Struthio camelus: one gene and its partners. The protein of the gene in region 1 interacts with the protein of each later gene in a pairwise test. Links are inferred from orthologs where the notes say so. Each region holds a gene or a part of one and is shown in the gene's direction. Other genes may lie near its edges.

Region 1 (7,164 bases):
AGAGGCTCAGTCGGCGCCAGCTGTGGGAAGCAGCACATCAGTGCTCTTGGCTGGTCTCCTATTCTGATGCTTCAATGAGCCATTTCAGACACAGCACCAGGACTGCAGAGCTGTAAATTAAAAAAGAATAGCGTGAAAATACATGAAAACGCCCCTGTGTAATCTGCAAAATGTATTACAGACCAAAGAGATACATCTCAACATCTTATTCCTTTTTGAATATTATTTGCCTGCTAGCCATAGATAACAGGGGTTCAATAAACAGAAGACATTTCTCAAACAACTAATGCATGGTTTGAACTACTCCATAAAAGCACATTCCTCCCTCTTCGCTTTAGGAAAGCTTGCTAAAGTCTTCAGATGATTTTTCATAAGTCTTCCCCATCATCCAAGTCTCCTCTATAAGAAGGATAAACAAGGATGAGCATTTTAGAAAAATGTAGATACAGATTTAAATAGTGTGCAGTGAGTACTACTCACTAGGGACTCGGATAAGATCAACACAGCTATTGCAACACATAACGTAACCAAGACGGAAAAAGCCTCATTTCCCCTCCTGGATGTTCACTGCATACGTTACAGCCCTCTGTACATCTCGCTACTGCTGAGGTTAATAGAAATCCTATAAGCACAGAAAGAACAGAACATTCTCAAGAAAGCCTCTACAAAGAGGAGCGCGATCCCCAGGGTGAAAGCTTGTGTCATTGCAAGTTTGAGCCCAGATTTCATCGCAGGCAATGGCTAAATTCTCACTGACTTCAATCGCAGAGCTTGGGCTGTAAGACCCCACCACCACCACACTGCCTTGGTCTTATCCTTTTCAGTGAGGTTTCATTTACAGATTTTTCCTCAGCTACTGAGAGCTTAATCTTTTGGAAAGGACTGATGTCAGCATACATGGGGACAATTTTGGCCCGACTGGTTGGTATGCTGATGTTAGCTGCGCAGACGGATCACATACCAGATGCCCATTCCCGGAGAGCGGCATCCCAATAGGGAGCCTGACGCGGCATCTGAAGTTGCCTATTTTTAGGCCACGTCATGCATTGTGCTGTACCAGCACACCGAACCCTGTGCTCCGACCCCAACCGAGGGCTTTTCTCATTCTCCCAAAACGTTCGGGATAACGCTAGCAGAGGGGCACAGAAGAGGATCGAGAGGCCAATACTTCCTCGCTTGGTTCAACTAGTACAGAGCAGCAATTGGGGGAAACCTGAACCACGTTCAGAAAGGCAGGCTGAGGTCCTGAGCCAGTTTGCCATCCCTGCCTTGAAAAAACTAGAAACTGGTAGAACACGGTAATATTTAGGTTTGATGCATCTAAAACTGCCCGCTCAGCAAGCCCCCTCACCAGCAAAGCCTCAGCACACCCTGCAGCCTGTTTTGCAGCACATCAGTGACATCATTTGATATCAGATTTTTGTTATTACACAAATGGAAAATATCTTTCATCATACAAATAAGTAATCTACCTTCTAGCAAAGGTTAGCATCAGAGAAAGAAATCACGCTGCACAGCGCGATGAAGCAGGAAAATATTTTGAAAAGTTCTTCTGCAGACAAAACAATAAAACTCAGCCTTTATGAGTACAATCAAGCTGTAAGTTAAAAATACACGCATCATACAGGCAATAAGATTTGATTTTAATTTCAATAGTTCTTAAGCTAGAATGCGCCAGTAAGTACATTTTATAAGGCCATCTAATCTCAGTTCTATATTCAGCTTGTGTTTTTTTTTTTTAAAACCTGGAATACTATTTATTTTTTTCCACTGTTCAAAGAGATTACAAATTTTATAAGGTCCCTCCTTAACAGGCACTTTTTTTATGGGTATCTGAAAGAGGCAATTAAAAAGTTTACAATAAAAAGGATCAGACAAACACGTTTCCCACTGCAATTTTCCATACACCAACTACTGCCAACTTTACAACTTGGCAGACGCATGGGAATATTTCAGCTTTACCTTACAAGTCTCCTCCCGAAGTATCAAGAAAGCATTTTGTCAAGCTTCAAACTTCAGCAGGTTCTCGTGTTTGATACGGATAAGCCCCCAAATTCTGACTGCTTAACCAAACCTTACTGTAGCTTGGACTTTGGAGTTCTCATTTCCACTGCTCTTGGGCATATTTTTCCTCAGGTCTCTCAGAGCCACTGGCTGTTTCCATCCCCTCTCAGTTACTGTCCTGTTTTCCCACTACTCTGCACCTTTCCCCACAAGCATCTATGGAGGATCATATACACCTGCCAATCCTATAATTACACCACTCCAAAACACTTTTATCTCTTTGAGCTTCCCTGCAGACTCCCCGCCCCTCCCAAGCAGGTCCAAGTTATTTCAAGACCCTGCTTCAGAGTTTGATGAGCTTCTGTAGCAGACCTACAGACAGAAATCCCCCAAGTTCACCGAGAAGCTACACAAGTTACAGTTCATACTATGCTACTAATTCCAGGGCAGATATTCAAAGATAAGGGACTCTGGGTGAATCAAGGTGAAAGAAACTTGAAACCAGCATCAAAAGTGTGTGTGGGGGGAAATCACTCCCAATCAGGCAGAAGAGTATGATATGCTGAGCGTCATGGCCTTGCAGCAGCTGGGTGAGAAAAATCTGCTCTGCTCTGGGTAAGGCCCTGGGCTGTGTTTCCAGTGAGCTCCAGTTTATGCCAGAGCAGCCTACCCACCCCAGTGGGGAGGCCGCGTGCCATGAAGTTCACATGTGCGGACAGCATTCCCAGCCTCCAGCAAGTTACAGGCTGTTCAGCAGCTCCTGGCAAGCTCCTGCCCATATCATTTGCAGCTGCACAGCTCGGCCGACCATGGAGCTTGCTGCGAGCAAGGATGGAGATGCTTGGAAGCAAGTCAGCACAGCTCTATCCATCACACAGGCACCATCACTGCTGCCCTGCTCTTGGGCAAACTCCCACCAATGGAGCTTCTGACACTGATGTTTTCACACCGCCTTACCTCCCCTGGTGTCTCCACAGGCCCTCTCCCCCATGGTAACATCTTCATAACAATCTCCCATCAAAAATGTGTAATTATATATACAGCTAAGAGCTACCTGCTGCAAAAAGCATTCAAAGCAATTCTGTAAAGTTCAGAGGATGGGATTTTATTTTCCTACCAGACCCCCCTCAACATATCCTGCAAAGGACATCCAACAGGCAGCACTGAAAAGCAACCTTATTCAGACATTTTTACAAATTACATGACATTCATTTGCTCCATATATCTCATCTACAGCAAAATGCCTTCGCACAGCCGTACGCTGCAGCCACTGAGGTTATCAGACTGCAGCAATCACCGAGAAGGAGCAGGCATTCAGAGCTACATGACTGCAAGGAAACCAGTCAGCATGGTGGGAGTCAAATAGTCTCTCTGCTTTTCATGGCAGAAAAATGTGGTGTAGAGCAGTGTGGAAAGGAAGACACACTCACAGAAAAGAGGAGAAAAGTAGGGCAGGTTAAAGAGAAACTCATATGATTCACAAATCGAAAAGTCTTTGGGCATGATGCCCTTCAGACAGACACCGCTGAGAAGGACCACATGGCCTCTGCAGCAAGCCAAAGGCTGAAGTCATTGCAATTTCAGCTTCATGCACGGAGAGTAATTTACACAAGTCGTTGGTAGGTGGCAACACTACACAGGAATAAAAAAAGCACGGACAGCTTATTAAAGTGATGAATAGCCCGAGTCAGCTCAGAGGCGGACACTACAAACACCAAATACTCAGATTTACAATTATTTCACTTCTTTGAAGAAAGGTGGCTACAGAGTCCTTCCTTATCCTTGAAGGCGCCTGTGTACTGGCCACACTCAAAAGCGTGTCTTTCCTTAAAAACACACCTGCCGAACCGCATCTCTGACTCACAGAGCAGAACGAAGAGCTGCTGCTCCGCCAGCACCTGCGGGACGGGCTCCCTTGCGAGCAGCAAAAACCTCCCGAGACACTAGCAACCAGGAGCGAGGGCAGGAGGAGGAGAACAAGAAAAAGAAGGGGAGGAGGGAAAAAAGGTTTCCGAGGGTTTCTGGGCTGGAGCACAGCCCCTGCCCGTCTTCGCTTACCAACAGCGAGCGTGCCCTCTGGGAGCTCCGCGCCCGGCAGGAGGGGCCGGGCCCGCTCCGCGGGGGCGGAGGCGCAGGCGGAGCCGCCCCCCCGCCCGGCTATAAGGCAGCGCGCAGCGGCGGCGGGGCCGCAGCGTGGCCGGGCCGGGCCGAGCGGAGCGCGGAGACGAGCGGAGCGCGATGCAGAGCGCGCTGTTCCTGGCGCTGCAGCACCGCGGCGCGCAGATGGAGCGGAGCGGCCGCCGCCGCGGCGAGGAGGCGGAGGAGAAGGGCCGGGTGAAGAGGACGATGTGAGTCGGGGTTCGCGCCTGGGCTGCTGCCCGCGAGCCAGCGCGGCCGCGGAGGGGCGCGGAGCGAGCGGTGCTGCCGCTGCCGGGGGGGGAAGAAGTCACCACCTCTCGGCCTTTCCGAGCAGTCACTTTAAACACCCCTTTTTCATTCTTCCAGCATTAGAGACTGGAAAACGAGACTGAGCTACTTCCTGCAAAACTCCTCCAGTTCTACTAAAATGAAATCCAAGAAAGCAGGAAAGCACCACACCTACTTCAGGTAACTTCTGAGAAGCAGACTTGAAGTGACTCAAATATCTTGCAAACAAAAAAGAGCTGTAGTCTAATGTATTCTCCATTGCTTTATGCAGACCTTCCCCTGAAGAAGCCCAGCTGTGGTCAGAAGCTTTTGATGAACTTCTTGCTAACAAATGTAAGTTTGTCTTTAAAAAGTAACTTTTAGGAACAAAAGGGGGGTGAAGCTTCTATGCATTTCTAGGAGGTTTCTTCCTTGTGTGTCAGCCATATACCTCACTTTTGCTAATGCACACAGCTTCGATTCTGATCTTGGAAATAAACACTTTAAACCATTTCAAATCCGAATTTATAGAAATGTTATTTTCAAGTTATTTGTAAGCCAATATTGAAACATCGAGAACACTTTGTAGTAGAGGAATTTATTCTTGTTTTAGCTATAACCTCTGCAATGAAACCATACCTCTAGTTGGCTTTGCCAAATGCCAAAGTGCATTTGTTCACTGTGCTCTCTGCATATCCTAGACAAATGCACTACAACAATTTGGAAATTGTTTTGCAACACTGGTGTCAACAGAAGTTCAGTCGATAATCTCTGGGTTTTACCATTGCCCTGCAAGGAAAGCGCTTAGCAGCAGGGCAAAAAGGACTAAGAACTAACATCAGCATTTGCTCTTTGACCTTGAGTCATCCTTTCTGCCACAAAAATATTCCAGAGGTTTGTAGCAGTGTCATAAATATTTACTCCAGTCTAAAGGTTAACACATTAAATCCTATCAAGAGAAAATTTTAAAGTATACATGCATACATCACAAAAGGGAACAGAGGCTAGAGATGGCTTTCATTTGTGTTTACCTAAAAACAGCTAACTTAAGTGAAGCTTGCCAAGCCATTAGAGCGTTAATTTGTTTGCATACATAAATGTGGACTTTTATTGCCATGGCATCCGTGAAAGAAATACACCAGAACTACAGCAATATGTTTGGTAGGAGAAGACATGACAAATGGGTAAATTCAAGATTCCTGAAATACGTAATTGATGTATTTTTGCTTCCCCCCCGCCTTTCCCTAGATGGTCTTGCTGCTTTCCGAGCTTTTCTGAAGTCAGAGTTTTGTGAAGAGAACATTGAGTTCTGGCTGGCATGCGAGGACTTCAAGAAAATCAAGTCACCCCAGAAGCTGACAGTGAAAGCAAAAAAGATTTACAATGACTTCATTGAAAAGGAAGCTCCCAAAGAGGTAAAAGGAACTATATAAACACAATTGCCCTATTCTGTGGCTTTGTAAAGCCCTGCTTTATTTCTCTGCACTCATTTCAAGTTAAATGCCAAAAATTCATCATACATAGCTCCTTGTTAGTATCTGCATCAGATCAGAACTCACTTCCCTAACTGCATTTTCACTAGGTTGGAAAACTGCACAAACCGTGTTTCAGAGAGCACCCATCTTATTTCAGCTAGGAAAAAAATCAGAGCATCATTTAATACCTGTAACATATCTGAGAGTTAAACATGGAAACATCATATCATCTGAACTGCTTTCCTTAAGGAAGTTTCATCAATTGAAGGCTGTAGCAATAGGGTCTTTAACTTTTCTCACCTGTTACAAAATGTAGTTCTCTGAAGTAAGTGTCCTTCTTTGTATTTCAGATAAACATAGATTTTCAAACCAAGAACCTGATTGCTCAGAATATTCAAGAAGCTACACATACCTGCTTCAGTGCCGCACAGAAGAGAGTTTATAGCTTAATGGAGAATAACTCATATCCACGGTTTTTAGAATCTGAATTCTATCAGGAACTGTGCAAAAAGACTCCCATCACCAGAGTGGCCCAGGCAACATGAGCTACAGCAAGGAGCAAGGAGAAGTCTTGCAGCTACTGAAGAAGAAAGCCACAGATCCCCAGCTGCATCCTGACCAGAAGGGCTGAGATACCAAGTGCACAGTCCATCTGCCAGGATGCATGGACAAATATCAACTGTGTTGCAAAGCCGATAGCAGGGGATGATGCTGGAGGGCGTGCAGGGAGAGTTGGCAGCCAGCTGCTAGGGACACACCTTTTTCTGTGAACACTGGTGTGAAAAGGTGATTCCACATTTTCGATGAAGCCGAGTGACGTGACATTCCTCATGTCACAGTGGAGGTGTTGATACAGTAGGTTAGAGCAGAGCTTCCTTTTTGTAAACACAAGCAGCTCTGTACAGCTGAGCAGTGCTGGGAGCTTGAGTAATTGGTTACGTACTTATTTTTCCTAAACATCAACAGTGCTGCTGTCATCATTCACTTAGTGTCTTAACACCAGTTGTGTAAACTAAAGACTTCTAGCTGCAGACAGATGTATCAGGCTTCGCTGCAACTGCTCAACACTATAGCACTGTCACCAGCAGTATGAAGTGAGGAGGGGGGGGATATAATTCACTTCCCAGAGGAGCAGGTTGTGTAACTTAAGTATACAGGGCTGCATGATGTCAGTGGGGCTGCAGGAGAGCAGGCTGAGGGCAGAACATGGCCACAGCAAACAGGAACTATACATATTATATGCAGATTGTGGTTGTGCTGAATGCTGCATTATGTCATA
Region 2 (7,149 bases), on another chromosome or scaffold:
CTCGTCAGCTGACGCTAGGGAGGTCGGGTTGGCACCTGCCGAAGTGCTTCTGGGAACATCCCGTGATGCACACGGCTCTGGCTTGGGGATGGTGCAGAAGAAAGGCTGTTTCATGCCAGCCTATGGTGCAATGGTCCAGATACTGTGCTCTAAGAAGTGCACTGATAGAGCAAAGAGCACTTCCTTGTTATGTTTCCCTCCAGGTCACAAAGTTGAGGGTGTTGATGAGGGCAGTGAACTAGAATATTGCTATTACAGTATCTTTTACAGCAACTGAGGTCTTATGTAAGACTCTGGTTTATGGATCAGTCTCTAAGAAGTTGTTCTCCAAAAAAAGAAAAATCGGTGCAGTTCCATTAAGGAGGAATTTGGAAGTTTCATTTTCTGTTAGGGCAACTTGTCTCAAGATGCAGTCATGTTTTTTTGTTTGCTGTTAGGGTTTTTTGTTAGTTATCCAGACTGTACTAAAGGCTTGGCTTTCCTGAAAAGGAATGGGGGTGGGGATCATGCATATTTTTAAAAAAAAAAAAAGAGGAGGGGAGGATGACAGTGGTTTGAGCTTTGTAATGGCTGTAATGAAGTCACCTGGCTATAGATTTACTGCGTGCATGTTGGCCACCAAGCTAAACTTTCAGTGCATCAAGCTAAGCAGGGTTGCTTTATTTATACACTTGCTTTATTGTGGCTTAGAGTCATGCACAAATACTGGCAGCCAGTGTAGTGCTGGCCCGAACAAAGGACAAAGCTCATCTTGGGAAGAAGGCTGTTGCTAGAGGAGGCCACATGACTTGAGTTTTGCTGAGTACTTCTAACCCTGGAGGGATGGTGCACTATGGCTGTGACAGTGAGACAGCTTTTATCTTTCTCAGACATAGAGTGGGTGGGTGCCTCTATCTGTGCCTGGAGGGGTTTGGCCCAGGTGCTGTGAACCAGCTGAGAGGTGCTTCTGGGTGTGACTCTCCTTGTGGCCTAGCCTGCCTAAACTGGGTCATGTGAGCTGTGCTTTGACTAGCCCATCTCCTGCCCCTTTGGTTGCACAGGCAACATGGGGGAAAGGAGTGGAGAGAAATTCCTAGTTAACTGGGGCTTGTGCTCTTAGATCTTTGGGCAATGTGTGGAAGAGTCTACTGGTGGGCCTCTGCAGCTAGGGCTGCTGTGAACTGCAAAGGGTCCCCTGTTGCTCTTCAGGAGTACAGGTACATCTCCCTTGGCTGCTTCAGCAGTATGGGAGAAGGTTACGTGACCCTCAGACGTGCTCTTCTCTCTGGTTTAACATGGTTTGAGTGTTTGTGGGCCTGTCCCTGGGAAAGCAGGCAGGGAGCTGCCTCTAGCCTCAATCTCCCAGGGATAGTGAGGGACCTGGGTGATAAGTCAGCTCCTTACCTCCTTCCCTCTGTTTGTATGATTGCAAACAGCAGCAGGAAATGCAGAGGACCTGTGTGTAGGTGGTGCAGCATGAGCAGCCACCATCTCAGTGCAGGTGCTCTCCTCCCTCATGTGCTGGAGCTGTTCTTAATGGCTTGCATTGGAGCGCATTCGGCCTCTGTGCTGCCTCTGAGGCTCTTCTCCCTGGCTGACAACTTGAGGCCTGTGCTCATATGGCCCAAGTTCCTCTTAGTGAGCATCTAGCTGCTAGAAGGCTAGTTGTGTGGGTCCTGCTCTGGGCCAGGTGTGAGCTTGCTTGTGGGTAGCTACTTCTTGGAGGTAATTTCTCATTTTCTTTTTGAGAGACTGCACTAAGATGCTTTGGATCCTAAAGCCCTTGGTGGGGTACTTCCTCTCAGGTCCAGCCCAAGAGGAGATGGAACAGGTCTTGAGGGCTGACTGCAAGCCCCAAATGTCTCCCTGGGACCTGATGGGGTTGCTGAGATGAAGTTGCTGTGTCCGAAGAAGTCAAACAGATAAGTTTGTTTTTTTTTTTTTTTTTTTTAACCTGCTCAGCTGCCTTTTCACAAGCTAAGAGGTTGTGATGGGGTTTGGCCTGTGAAGACAACCTCTGCTAGAGTCATCCTCAAACTGTGAGGCCTTGGGCCTTGCGTGTGCTCTGTGTGTGTGTGGCCAGGCTAGATTTGCTGTCTTTTGAGCTTCGGCATCTTGTGTGCATAGGTTGGTTGTCCTGGTGTGTGAGCAAGTGCTGCAGCAGTTGATTCCTGAATACACTTGGCTACCTGGAGGGAAGCAGGGCTGGAAGGCTGAGCCTGTGCCTGAAGAAGGTGCCATGTCCTGTGCTTGGTAGGACATACAATGGAGCCAGTGGGGTAGTGGACAAGGGGATTTAGTGATAGGGAACTGCTGCTTGAATCGCGAGCTTTAGCTGCCCATGTTGTATGTCTCTACTCAGGCTTGGTTTTGGTGCTGCTCTTTGGGCTCCTTTGGTATTTGAATTTGCTATGAAGCTTTGAGACGGAAAGACATGAGGTGCCAACTGCCTGCAGAGCAACAGCATGTGCAGAAGAGATAGTGACGATGGGGAAATACTTCACGTGGCAGCTTTATCTTGCATGAGTCTTACTTGGCCTTATCTGTAGGGAAAGGGAATGATCACAGAAGCTAGCGGCCTTGCTTTTACTTCTGCTTTGCCTCTCAAATGCCTTTAAGCTGCCTGATGACTGCCTCTGACTTGTCAGGTGCACGTGACTCAATATCTTGCAGTCGTCTGCAGAAATTGGTCCCGCAAGTCCTGTGCCTGCTCTTGCTCTATATATAGATTTGTTATACACAGGGTACTTGCTTTAGCTGTGGCATAATAGAGGGACAAATCACATGAGATCAAAGGGTTTCCCCTTCCTTCTCCACCCAAATCTTGGGATAGTCCATGTAATCCAGCAGTAACCTGACAACTGATTCTTGCTTTGAGTTGGAGCCCCCCAAAACTTCTGGCACTGAGCCCACAGGAGATTTGGCAAGAGACTTTTTCTATTAAAATGACTGACCAGCTCCCAGCTAATGAGTTGCACTGGGAGATGAAGCTGCTTTCTCCTGCTGGGTTTGCTGGCTGTGAGCCACTCTGTGGGGCAAATGCAATGCAGCAAGCATGCAGCCTGCTTAAAATATAGGTGTCTGTCAGAGGGGGGATTGCATTGCAAAGAGGGTATCTCTTTTCAGCTCAGTCTCGGGTTGACTGGAGCTCCCAGTTGACAGTGGCTGTGATCTTGTAACCTGAGGATGTGAGCTCTCCTGAGGCTGTCTGTCAGGAGCTCTGGGCAAGCAGCCTTATAGGTGCAGGAGGCTTTGCAGAATAGGTTTTTGGCATGTCATCAAATCCACAAGTGTCCGAATGAAAACAAACCTGTATCAAATGGATCCTGGCTTCAAAAGTGCCTCCTTTCTGTGCTACGGAAGATAGAAACTTTACAGCTGGAAGGTAGAGGGTTTTAAAGACTGTAGAGGAAGTTTTTAGTCTCAGAGCTGAGCTATGCTCAGTATGCTGGTGGTAGTGGAAGTTTGTCTCTACTGGTTGCTCACCAGGAGCCTTGCAGGGAGATGTGGCCTGACACCTTCCCCTGAATGTGGCCAGGTTGTTGCACCATCTGAGTGACCTTGCTGAGGGAATGGATGCCCTGTGGTGTTATAATGGTCGTGGTATGGGGTGGTGAGGGAACATCTTGTGAGTGCAGAGGGATTTGACTAAACTCTGGTTAAATATGTACCAGGCCCCTAAAGCCTGGGGAGGGCAGAAAGGAGTGTGTGTTGGGTGGGGGTTTAAGTGCTCTGGACCCAGCTCAGCTGTTGCTAGTTCAGTTTGTTCTGGCTGTGTGTAGATATAGGAAGATAAGCCTGTGGCTTTCCAGCATGTGTTTTGGTCATTTTGGATGTTGTGACTTTCCAGCAGAGCAGGCAAGGCCTTTTTTTAGACCCATGTAACAGAAACGAGGAGCCCTCTTCCCAGTGGGAGCCAATAAAGTTATGGTAGACCCTCTCCCTTCACTAACTGGCTTCTGGGGACTTGCCAGCAGCGCTAATAACACACCGTGGACCTGTTTTCCATGCAGCAAAGCCTGTGATGTGGCTTAGCCCAAGGAGCTGGCAGGGATCCTGAAGAAGTTGCTTTGCACCACTTCAGCCCAAGATGGTCGCCTGTAGGCTTTCTATAGTTGTGTTTAAGGGTCAGTAGTCAAAAACCATGTTAGCATTGGAAAAGTGCATTTTCTTTGAGTGTAACCTTTTTGCTGGCTAAGCAGGAAAACATGGCAAGAAGAGAAGGTTTGGAGGCTTTGGAGACCTGTCCTCTGGCAGTACCACCAAGTTGGTTGTCTGTGAGAAACCTCTAAGCACACAAATACATGTAAAACCTCTTCAAAGAAGTGAGATTTGAAGGAGGGACAGTGTATTTCTGAAACTTGACTAGCTTTCCAGCAGAGCGTCCTGCTGAAAGCACAAAGAGGCCACATTAAAGTGAATGGTGGCAGGGGAAAAATAAAAGCCCTTTTATATGGTTAGCTGCAACTGCCCAGGCTTGTAGCTGGCAGAAAGTAGGACAGTCCTGCTGGGTTTTCTTCTCTGGGAAGGCTAAACTTGGCTGTGAGTGGGTGGAGGCAACATGCGTGGAGATGTGTGTGCCTCTGTCCGTCGTCAGCTTGAACCTGGCTGTTCAGAAAGCTTTGCTGCCATGAGACTGCACAGCTGCTGCTGGTAGTTATTTGGCTGCTTAGGCATATTAGCCCAGAAGGGCTTAAGTGCAGCCTCTGAGAGATGATTACATGTTTAACTCGCTGAGATGAGTTGGAATTGGGGCCTAAGTGTCTCTGCTGTTTGGGGCTTTGCTGAGTATCTGAGGTCTTGGGTTGCTAGTCAGGCTTGGAGCTTGGGGCTGATGGAGCTTTGTTAAAGTGAGCCAGGAGGTTGTGGGTGGAGGAGGATACCGCAGCATGTTTGCAAAGGCTGATTGGCTCATAACGCGGCTGGATGTCTGATCCCGTCCAACCAATCTGAGTTGGGTGCAGAGGTGCTGAGAAGTGTGAAGGGTTGCTGCTTCGGCTGTAGGTGTATAAAAGGGTTAAAATGGAGCAGGGTGGTTTAAATTAGGTTAAAACTAGGCAGGAAGAAATGGAGTGGTGGTGTGACTGCCTGTCCTCCAAACCATTGTCCAGCAGACTAGCTTTCTGCTGGATGAGTGAGCTGAACTGATGCCTAGGTGGTGCAAGGCGGTGTGGAGGTGAGGCTGGAGCATCTCCTCTTGGCACTAGCAAGCTTTAAACTGAGGGTCAAGTTGCTTAAAGGATTTGATTGAGCTGAGGAGTACACAGGTGGCAAAACTGAACCTGTACCTATGTTGTGGTTGTGCTTCCATGTGGGAGGCAGGAGGCCTGTGGCTGACTCTTGCTGTGCTCTTGGATTTCCCCCTGCTGTGACTCTCTTCCTCAGCCTGGAACTTTCCTGGTGCCCTGTGCCAAGGGATGCAGTGTCAAACCTCCGTTGTGGAAAAGTCCCACACGGGAGGGGAGTATAGGCTGTAGTGATGGACTGTTCCTATAGGGCTTAGGCCTCCTCTCTGTGGGCAGGAATCCCTTCCCTCAGGGGATGTGACTGTGTTTAGGGTCCTGAGGGTGATAGACTGGCCAAATGAGGCTGTAGAGCCCAGAAATGTGATTTGGAGGGGAGCTGTGGGAGGGAGGCCCTCAAAGGGAAGAGTGCTGTGTTAGGATAGTGGGCTAGCAAGTACACGGGGGCTACAGCTCTGCTGGGATCTGATGTGGGGTAGATCATTTAATCCCTCTTAGTCCTTAGCTCTTCTGTTTCTTGGAAGTAAACAGCTTGTGAGACCCTCCAAACACAAACCCTTGGACCTGCTTCAAAAGCAAGTTTCCTGCTGCTGTTAATCCTGCAGCAGTTGACCAAACAGCATTGCCCTGTCTGACTTCTTCTGGGCTGCAGGAAGGGAGTTATTAGCACACTCTTGCATTGCTCCTGACCTTCTAGGTAAATCAGGATTGGGAGGGATTTTGTGCAGGCATGTGTTTTATCCTCCTGTGTGTTGCTGGTAAACAGCTGCTAGCAGTCCTTCTGCCAAGCCCTGCCAGATCCTCCTTGCAGCAGAGCAGTCTGACCTCAGGTTGGGATGGTTTCCTGCTGGTGTTCAGGCAAATGATAACCAAATTGTGTTGCAGGTGAAGGAACCTGTTCTGAAGCCAAGATGTGGAAGTCTGTGTCTGTCCTGTGTGTCCTGGTGGCTTTTGCCAATGCCCGTAGCATTCCTCACTACCCTCCCCTCTCCAGTGACTTGGTCAACCACATAAACAAGCTCAACACCACCTGGAAGGTGAGTGCAGGGGATTTTTTGGACAGATTGTGGGACCTCCTCTCCATAGGACTCAACAGCTGTGATTTGGGAGTCTCATCACAGTGCTTGCCTCCAACCAGCCTTGGGTCCCAGCTGGCCTCCCCAATGAGTTGATGCCATCAGGGATTCCTGCAGTGACAATGATTGTGCACCTCCTCCTTAGAGCAGAGCACTGATGAATTCATAGACTAGGAGTAATGCTGAGAGGAGAGGGAACTCTGCAGGGCAGTGGAAACAAACAGCAAGTGTAGAAGTATATTGCCAACCTGGCCAAACCTGGCTTTGCCATGCTGCTGTGGCCAAAGCTTAGAGTTGGACCTGAGCTTACTGGCCACAGTGCCCTGTTCCTGGAAGGGGCTGTGTTGTCCTGTCACCGTAAGCAGCTTGGCTCTTGGCCTCTGGGTTTTAAAAGCAAGTATCAGATACAGGTTGGGTTCGAGGAAGATCTGGAGCCCCAGGCTAGTCATGCTGTGGCTGCGGACTGCACGTAGTGGCTGTAGAGTCATGTTCAGTCACTCTGTCTCTTCCCAGGCAGGGCACAACTTCCACAACACTGACATGAGTTATGTGAAGAAGCTCTGTGGCACATTCCTGGGTGGGCCCAAGCTCCCCATCAGGTGAGTAATCGGAGAAAGGAAGATGATGGCCCTGCAAAAGCTTGTGTGGATGCTCCTGTGCAAGTCTGCAGTGGGTGAGGGCCCTTTCCCAACAGGCTCTGAGCTGGGTCCCCCTGCATGCTTCTGCATGGGGTGCTCTGGGACTGGATGCTTGATTTGCAAGAAGAGGGTGTGAAGAGGGTACAATATGGTTGTTCCTGCAAGCTGCCAGAGCTGACCATGTAGAGAGCTGATACCTAGGGTGAGCCAGAG
Region 3 (7,345 bases), on another chromosome or scaffold:
GGGAATAGTCCCAATAGGGAAGGGAAATTGGGGAATAATGAGGAGAAATTCCCTGCTAATGGGGATTGAGGGGGGAATGGTCCCTAACAGTGAAGGAAAATGGGGAATAATGAGGGAATAGTCTCTAGTAGTGAAGGATATTGGAGAATTATGAGGAGAAAGTCCCTAATAATGGGGATTAAAGGGGAAATAACCATTAATAATGGAGAATTATGGGGACTAGTCCCTAGTAATGAAGGAAAATTGGGAAAAATAAGGGAATAGTCCCTAATAATGGGGAGTAAGGGAAGAATACTCACTAATAATGAAGGAAAATTGGGGGGAAATGAGGGAATAGTCCCTAATAATGGAGAGTAAGGGAAGAATAGTCACTAATAATGAAGGAGAATTGGGGAATAATGAGGAAACAGTCCCTAATAATTGGGTATGAGAGGGGAACAGCCCCTGATAATGAAGGAAAAGGGGAACAATGAGGGAATAAGCACTAATAATGGGGAGTGAGAGGGGAATAGCTCCTCATAACAGGAAATAAGGGGGGAATGGTCCCAAATAAGGGGATAATAGCCCCTAATAATGAAGGAAAGTGGGGAATAATGAGGGAATAGCCCCTAATAAATGGGGAATAACCCCTAATGGGGAATAAGCAGTAGGGTAGCCCCAAGTAATGGGGGAATAGCCCCTAATAATGGGAAAATAATAGGGTATATCCCCTAATAATGGTGGTTAATGGGAAATAATGAGAGAATAGCCCCCAATAATGAGAGATAATGGGAGATATTAGAATAACCTCAAATAACGGAGGAGAAGGGGGGAATAGGCCTTAATGATGGGGAGAAATGGGTAGAAATGGGGGGGAACCCCTAATAATAGGGGAGAATGGGGAATAGCCCCTAATAGTGGGGAATAATGAAAGAATAATCCCTAATAATGGGAGAATAGCAGCTAATTATAGTGAATAATGCGGAATAATGGTTGATAATGGTGGGGCGAGGGAAGGGGAAATAACAGCTAATAACGAAGAATACAGGTTAATAGGGAAATAGCTGCTAATAGTGGGGGAAGGGAACCGGAATAATGAAAATAACTGTTAATAACAGTCAAAAGGGGGGAAATAACAGGATTTAGTTCAGCGCTGGGCTTCCCAGCGAGGGGGGCCCAGGCATCCGGGCGCCCTCGCCCTGGGCCTGGCCCAAGCGAGGAATTCGGCCCAGCAGCTGGGGAGGAAGGCCAGGACGCCTGGGCCCCTGGCAGGGCGGGGGGAGCAGCAGGCACCCAGACCCCACCCCGGACGCCTGGGTCCCTTTCCCCAGCTGCGGCTGATGGGGTGGGAGGAGAGTCGGAGCTGCCCAGACGCCTGGGCCCTCTCCCAGCACCTGTTTTGCAGGGGCGGAGGGGGAAGGGGGGCAGCCCGGACGCTTGGGCCCTGTGGAGCCCTTTGGGATCAAAGCCCCCCCCCCCCCCCAAACAGCTGTTCCCCCCTCCCCAGCTGCTGCCCCCCCACAGCTGTTTTGGGGGGGGAGCAGTTGGCACACCCACGTGGGGACCCAAGCGTCCGGGGGCCCAGGCGTCCGGGGAAAGGGGAGGGGGCACCTCCTCCTCCCTTCCCCCCACCCCGGGGGTATTTTTAGGCCCCGAGACATGCGGTCACTGCCCAGCCATGCGTGGGGGGGGGCAGCCGGATGCCTGGGCCCCCTTGATGGGGGGAGGAGGGGTTACTGTACGTCCATCCGTCTCCCCCACCCTGGGGTCTCCCCCTCCTGGGGCACCCGCAGGCCCGGCTGGGTGCCAGGCCAGGGCTGCGCCGGCTGCACCCAGTACCTGCCTGCCTGGGCCCGGCCCCTTGGCACCGGCCGCTGGGAGCGGTCATGCCCCCGGGGGACCCAGGCGTCCGGGGTGGGGGGCCCCCAAAAGGTGGTTTTGAGAGGGCCCCGAAAAGGGAGTTTCGAGGGGGCCGGATAAAGATAGTTTTGAGGGGACCCCCAAAGGGCAATTTTTAGGGTCCCCCAAAAAGGCAGTTTCATGGGGGCTCCAAAAGGGGGGATTGCGATCCCCAAAATAGGGAGTTTCAAGAGGTCCCAGAAAGGCAGGTGCAAAGGTCCCCAAAAAAGGCAGTTTTGAGGGTCCCCAGAAAGGGTGGTTTTGAGGGATCCCAAAAAGGACAAATTTGAGGGTCCCCAAAAAGGCAGTTTTGATGGTCCCTCGAAAGGCAGTTTCAAGGCATCCCTGGATAGGGCAGATTTGAGGATGACCAAAACGGGCAGTTTGGAGGGTCCCCCAAAAGGTAGTTTCAAGGCACTCCAGAAAGGTAGTTTTGAGGGGTCCCCAAAAAGATGGTTTTGAGGCTCCCAAAAAAGGTGTTTTCACGCTTGGAGGGGGGGGGTTTCAAGCCCCAGGTTATTTCAGAGGGATTTGAGGTGTTTTCAAGCCCCCCCCCCCCTTTTTGGGCGGAGGCCCTTTTGGGGGGAGTCCCAGCCCTCCGCTGTGATTTTGGGGGCCCCTTTTGGAGGTTTCCAGGTCCCCCCCCCCCCCCCCCCGAGCCCCCGGGTGGACAAAGGGAGGGGAACAAAGGGCTTCCCAGAGAGGACCCAGGCGTCCGGGCCCCGCCTCCCCCCCCCAAGGTGAGGCGTGGGAACCCCCTGGGTCCTAGCTGCCCCCTCCCCACCTGCTCCGCCCAAGGGACCCAGGCGTCCGGGCTCCCAAGCCCCCTTGGCAGCCCCACTCCGAGCTTCGGTGGGGGGGACCCAGGCGTCCGGGCTGCCCTCCCCTCCCCTCCCCCCCCCCCGCAGGAGGAGGAGGGGGAGAGGGCCCAGGCGTCCGGGCTGCCCTCCCCTCCCGGAGGACCCAGGCGTCCGGGGGCTGCGGCAAAGAGGAGGCGGCGTGGAGCCTGGTGGGGGCACTGGGGGTGCCGGGGGGGGGGTTTGGGGCGTTTGAGGGCACTTTGGGGGGGTATTGGGGGCACTTTGGGGGAATATTGGGGGTGTTTGGGGCACTTTGGGGAATATTGGCACTTTGGGGGGTTTTGGGGGGATTTTGGGGAATATTGGAGCATTTCGGGGGGATTTGGGGCACTTTGGGGGTATTTGGGGTACTTTGGGGGGTATTTGGGGCTCTTGGGGATATTTGGGGAACTTTGGGGGGGATTTGGGGCATTTCAGGGGGTTTTTGGGACATTGGACGGGTATTTGGGGGTATTTTGGGGGGGATTTGGGTCACTTGGGGCAGAGAGCTGGGGGCCCCCTATGGGGAGCTCTATGGGGCCCATGGGGGGCCCTGAGGGTCCCCCCAGCCCCTGGCAGCCCTTTAGGCACCCCCCACCCAGCCCGTATGGAGGCACCTATAGAGCGCCTGGGCTGCCCTGTGTGTCCTCACTGCCTGCCCCCAGTCCCCTATAGCCCCCTCTAGACTCCCCTGCCACCCTATAGCTCCCTCTGCCCCCCATAGAGCGCCCTACAGAGATGCCTATAGAGCCCAGATAAGGCAGCGCAGCTCTAAGCACCCCCTATACCGGCCCCAGAGCATTTTACAGGTACCTATAGGATGAAACCCTATAGCCTATCTCTATACCCACCCGCACGCAGTGCCCCAGGGAGGCGTGCAGGCCCCTATATAATTCGTTAAGAGCCTTTAAGTGCTCTCTGCCCCGATCCCTATGGCTCTTCATGTTGTGGGTAGCTATAGAGCTGGGCCCTGTGGACCCTGTACGTTCGTGTGTGCGCTTGGCATGTGTGTATAGACACAGGGAAGCCTATACAATGCCGTAAACACCCCTATGGCCCTGGGTAGCCCTGCAGGTAACTGTATAATAAGCAAAGTTTTATGTTTGCACGTACAGTGTGGTGTATATGTATCCGCATACCCTTATATAAGCCATTAACACCCCATAGGCTCCCGCTACGCACCCCTATAGCGCAGCGTGGGTTCAGGGGTGCCTGCAGGTGCAAACCCTCTACCCCTATATGTAGGTACCGGTAGCACTTGTCTGCCCATAGCTTCTCTACGCACACCCCTATAGTACTTTATATAAACTCCTATAGGGGTTTATAGCCATTTTGGGTGTATACTTAGGACTATATAGTTTTTTTATAAGGTACAAAAACTTAGGTATAGATATACATGCCTATAGTAACACATACAGAAGCTTCTGTATCCGCAGGTCTATGTACACATCTATGTGTATCTATGAAGTGCACGCATATAGAAAAAAAACTTATGTAGTGACCATATAAATACAGTATAGGTGTATATGTATATTTGTCTCTTTAAGTGATTCTATGGCTCTACAGTTATATATGTGCTTATAATATATTGTATGTTATATGTGATTAGTAGTTGTGTGTTTCTATGTGTTTTGAAGTATGCGGGAACGTGCTTATATAACGGGGATTTATGAGGAGGGGCTCGAAACAGACATTTAGGGGCTCAAAACTGACCTTTTGGGCCAAGGCAGGGCTCGAAACTGGATGTTTTGGGGCCGGGGGGGGCTCAAAACTGACGTTTCAGGGGAAGGGGGGCTCGAAACTGACATATCTGTCCCCAGGCGGGACGCTGGCGTGTCGGGGTCGCCTTGGGGCCACCATGGGGCCCCTCGGCCTCGCCCCCCTCCTCCTCCTCCTCATCACCACCGCGGGGGCCCAGGTGTCCGAGCTGGAGCTGGACGGGCTCCTCGACCTGGGTGAGACCCCTAATGGGGGCCATATAGGGCTGTGGGGGGGGGGAGCCCTGGGGGATGTATAGCAGTTATATGAGCTTGCGGGTGCCCTATAGGGGCCATGAGGGGTGGTTGGGCTGTAGGGGGTATATAGGGGCCACATGGGGCTGAGGGTCCCCTATAGCAGCCATGAGGGGTGAAGGAGGGTGTATAGGGGCCATAGGGGCTGTGGGGGGCTGATGAGCTGTGGGGGCTGTATAGGGGGTGGGGGAGCCATGAGGGATGTATAGGGGCCCTATATGGGGCTGTGGGTCCCCTATACGAGCCGTGGGGGGCAGGTGGGCTACAGGGGCCCCATGTGGAGCGGTGGGCTATAGGGGGTCTATAGGGGCTGCGTAGGGGATGTGAGGCCAGCGTGTCCTTGCTGTCCCCTGTGACTCCTGTGTGTCCCCCCATGTCCCCCCCCGTCCCTGATGTCCCCCCGTGTCCCCCGTGTCCCCAGGCAGGTGTCGCTACGCCCTGGGCATGCAGGACGGCGCCATCCCCGACAGCCGCCTGACGGCCTCCAGCGCCTGGTCCGAGTCGACCGCCGCCCGCCATGGCCGGTACGGCCCAGTATGGACCAGTATGGCCCTGTATGGCCCAGCGTGGACTAGTACAGTCCAGTGTGGTCCTGGGTCCCCATCCCATCCCACCCCGTGTCCCGTCCCCATGTCCCCTCCCTCCTCCTGGTGTCCTCATCCCGCAGCCCACCATGGCCGGTGAGCCCAGTATGGACCAGTATGGTCCCTGTGCCCTCCCAGCGCCTCCTGGTGTCCTCTCCCTCTGCCCAGTGTCCCCATCCCATGGCCCTGGCCACCCATGTCCCCAATGGTGGCCCCGTGTCCCTGTGTCCCCTGGATGTCCCCATGTCCCTAGGTGTCCCCTTGTCCCAGCTAGTCCCATTTCCCTAGGTGTCCCCGTGTCCCCTGGGTGTCCCCCCCATCCCCTCAATGTCCCCTTGGTGTCCCCAGGCTGGGCCGCAGCGACGGGGACGGCGCCTGGTGCCCTGCGGGCCCCGTGTACCCGGACGAGGCCGAGTTCCTCGAGGTGGACCTGGGCCAGCTGCACGTGGTGACACTGGTGGGGACGCAGGGACGGCACGCTGACGGCCACGGCAAGGAGTTCGCCCGGGCCTACCAGCTGCGCTACACCCGTGACCGGCACCACTGGCTCCGCTGGCGTGACCGCTGGGGCGCCGAGGTGACCGGGCACCTTGGGGACCCCTTGGGGACTTCAGGAGGCGGGGGGGACATGGGGACGCGGTGGGGACACGGGGCGTACCGGCTGCCCTACAGCTGCCACTGGCACTGCTGGCTCCACTGGCTCGGGTGCTGAGGTGACCAGGCACCTTGGGGACACCTTGGGGACCGTGGAGACACCTTGGGGACACCTTAGGGACATGGTGGAGATCTCTTGGGGACCTTGGAGATGTCTTGGGGACACCTTGGGGGTGTGGTGGGGATCCCTTGGGGACCTTGGAGACCCCTTGGGGACCTTGAGGACACCTTGGGGACGTGGTGGGGACATGGGGACACATTAGGGACAGGGGATCATGGGGACCTTGGGTGCATGTTGGAGATTTTGGGGACATGACAGACCCCAGGGGACCCTGGGGGCATCCCAGGGATCACCGAGGGGCACTGGGAGACCCCAGGGCTCGCTGGGGATCCGGGTGATCCTGGGGCCTCTGGGACCCCTGGGGAGGCACTGGGATCACTGGGAGGCCCTGGGGATCATTAGGGATCTGGGGAGATCCCAGGGGCTGTGGGACCCGTTCAGGGACCTTGGAGGTCTCCAGGGATCCCTGAGGGTGCTGGGAGATCCCAGAGATCTAGGGGGATCCTTGAGTGCCTGGGTCCCCCTGCGGGGACCTTGGGGTCCTGGGGGGGGCTCAGAGGACCCCCGGGGGATGCCAGGTGGGGATCCGGGGGGATCGGGGGCTGACGCGGGGCCGCAGGTGATCGCGGGCAACGAGGACCCCGAGGCCGTGGTGCTCAAGGACCTGGCGCCAGCCGTGGTGGCCCGGGCCGTGCGGGTCTACCCCCGCGCCGACCGCGTCATGAGCGTCTGCCTGCGCCTCGAGCTCTACGGCTGTCCCTGGCGCGGTGAGTGTCACCGTCACCGCCTGTCCCCGTCCCCCGGTGTCACCTTCCCCCCCCAACCCCCACCCCGGTGTCCCCATCCCCGACGGCGGCGCGAGTGCCTACTTGTGCCCCCGGCTCTACGGCTGCCCCCGGGGCGGCGAGCGTCCCCGTGTCGTCGCGTCACCACGTCCGCGGGGTGACACGCTGCTGTCCCCAGCGGGGCTCCTGTCCTACGCGGCACCACAGGGGCAGGTGATGGCCCTCGACCCGGCGCCCGTCGTCCTCAACGACTCCACCTACGACGGCCACAGCATCGGCCAGTGAGTCCCCCCAGCGCCGCGTCACCGTGTCACCACGTCCTCGCGTCACTGTGCCACTGTATCCCCCTGTCCCCGCGTCCCCATGTCACCGAGTCCCTGTGTTCCCTGCATCCCCTTGTCACCGTGTCCCCATATCCTTGCATCACCATGTCACCGTGTCACTGTGTCCCCATGGCCCCACGTTGTGTCCCCGCATCCCTGTGTCACCGTGTTGCCATGTCCCCACGTCGCTGTGTCACTGCATCCCTGCA

Evidence for each region.
Region 2: the proteins of RGS2 (region 1) and CTSB interact in a two-hybrid assay, tested with the Homo sapiens proteins (2 studies listed by BioGRID and IntAct). The link is inferred for Struthio camelus from reciprocal best matches to the Homo sapiens genes RGS2 and CTSB.
Region 3: the proteins of RGS2 (region 1) and DDR1 interact in a two-hybrid assay, tested with the Homo sapiens proteins (2 studies listed by BioGRID and IntAct). The link is inferred for Struthio camelus from reciprocal best matches to the Homo sapiens genes RGS2 and DDR1.

Annotation. Positions count from the first base shown.
Region 1 is NC_090949.1:10,318,331-10,325,494, forward strand, and holds the start of RGS2 (regulator of G-protein signaling 2), read left to right. Parts: upstream 1-4,152; 5' UTR 4,153-4,242; coding exon 4,243-4,352; intron 4,353-4,509; coding exon 4,510-4,611; intron 4,612-4,702; coding exon 4,703-4,764; intron 4,765-5,658; coding exon 5,659-5,825; intron 5,826-6,235; coding exon 6,236-6,430; 3' UTR 6,431-7,164. UniProt on the Homo sapiens protein: Regulates G protein-coupled receptor signaling cascades. Inhibits signal transduction by increasing the GTPase activity of G protein alpha subunits, thereby driving them into their inactive GDP-bound form.
Region 2 is NC_090944.1:11,200,025-11,207,173, reverse strand, and holds the start of CTSB (cathepsin B), read left to right. Parts: upstream 1-4,054; 5' UTR 4,055-4,069; coding exon 4,070-4,106; intron 4,107-6,107; coding exon 6,108-6,259; intron 6,260-6,811; coding exon 6,812-6,897; intron 6,898-7,149. UniProt on the Homo sapiens protein: Thiol protease which is believed to participate in intracellular degradation and turnover of proteins. Cleaves matrix extracellular phosphoglycoprotein MEPE. Involved in the solubilization of cross-linked TG/thyroglobulin in the thyroid follicle lumen.
Region 3 is NC_090977.1:589,268-596,612, reverse strand, and holds the start of DDR1 (epithelial discoidin domain-containing receptor 1), read left to right. Parts: upstream 1-4,299; 5' UTR 4,300-4,460; coding exon 4,461-4,672; intron 4,673-5,154; coding exon 5,155-5,253; intron 5,254-5,661; coding exon 5,662-5,890; intron 5,891-6,647; coding exon 6,648-6,795; intron 6,796-6,897; exon of another isoform or gene 6,898-6,991; coding exon 6,992-7,094; intron 7,095-7,345. UniProt on the Homo sapiens protein: Tyrosine kinase that functions as a cell surface receptor for fibrillar collagen and regulates cell attachment to the extracellular matrix, remodeling of the extracellular matrix, cell migration, differentiation, survival and cell proliferation.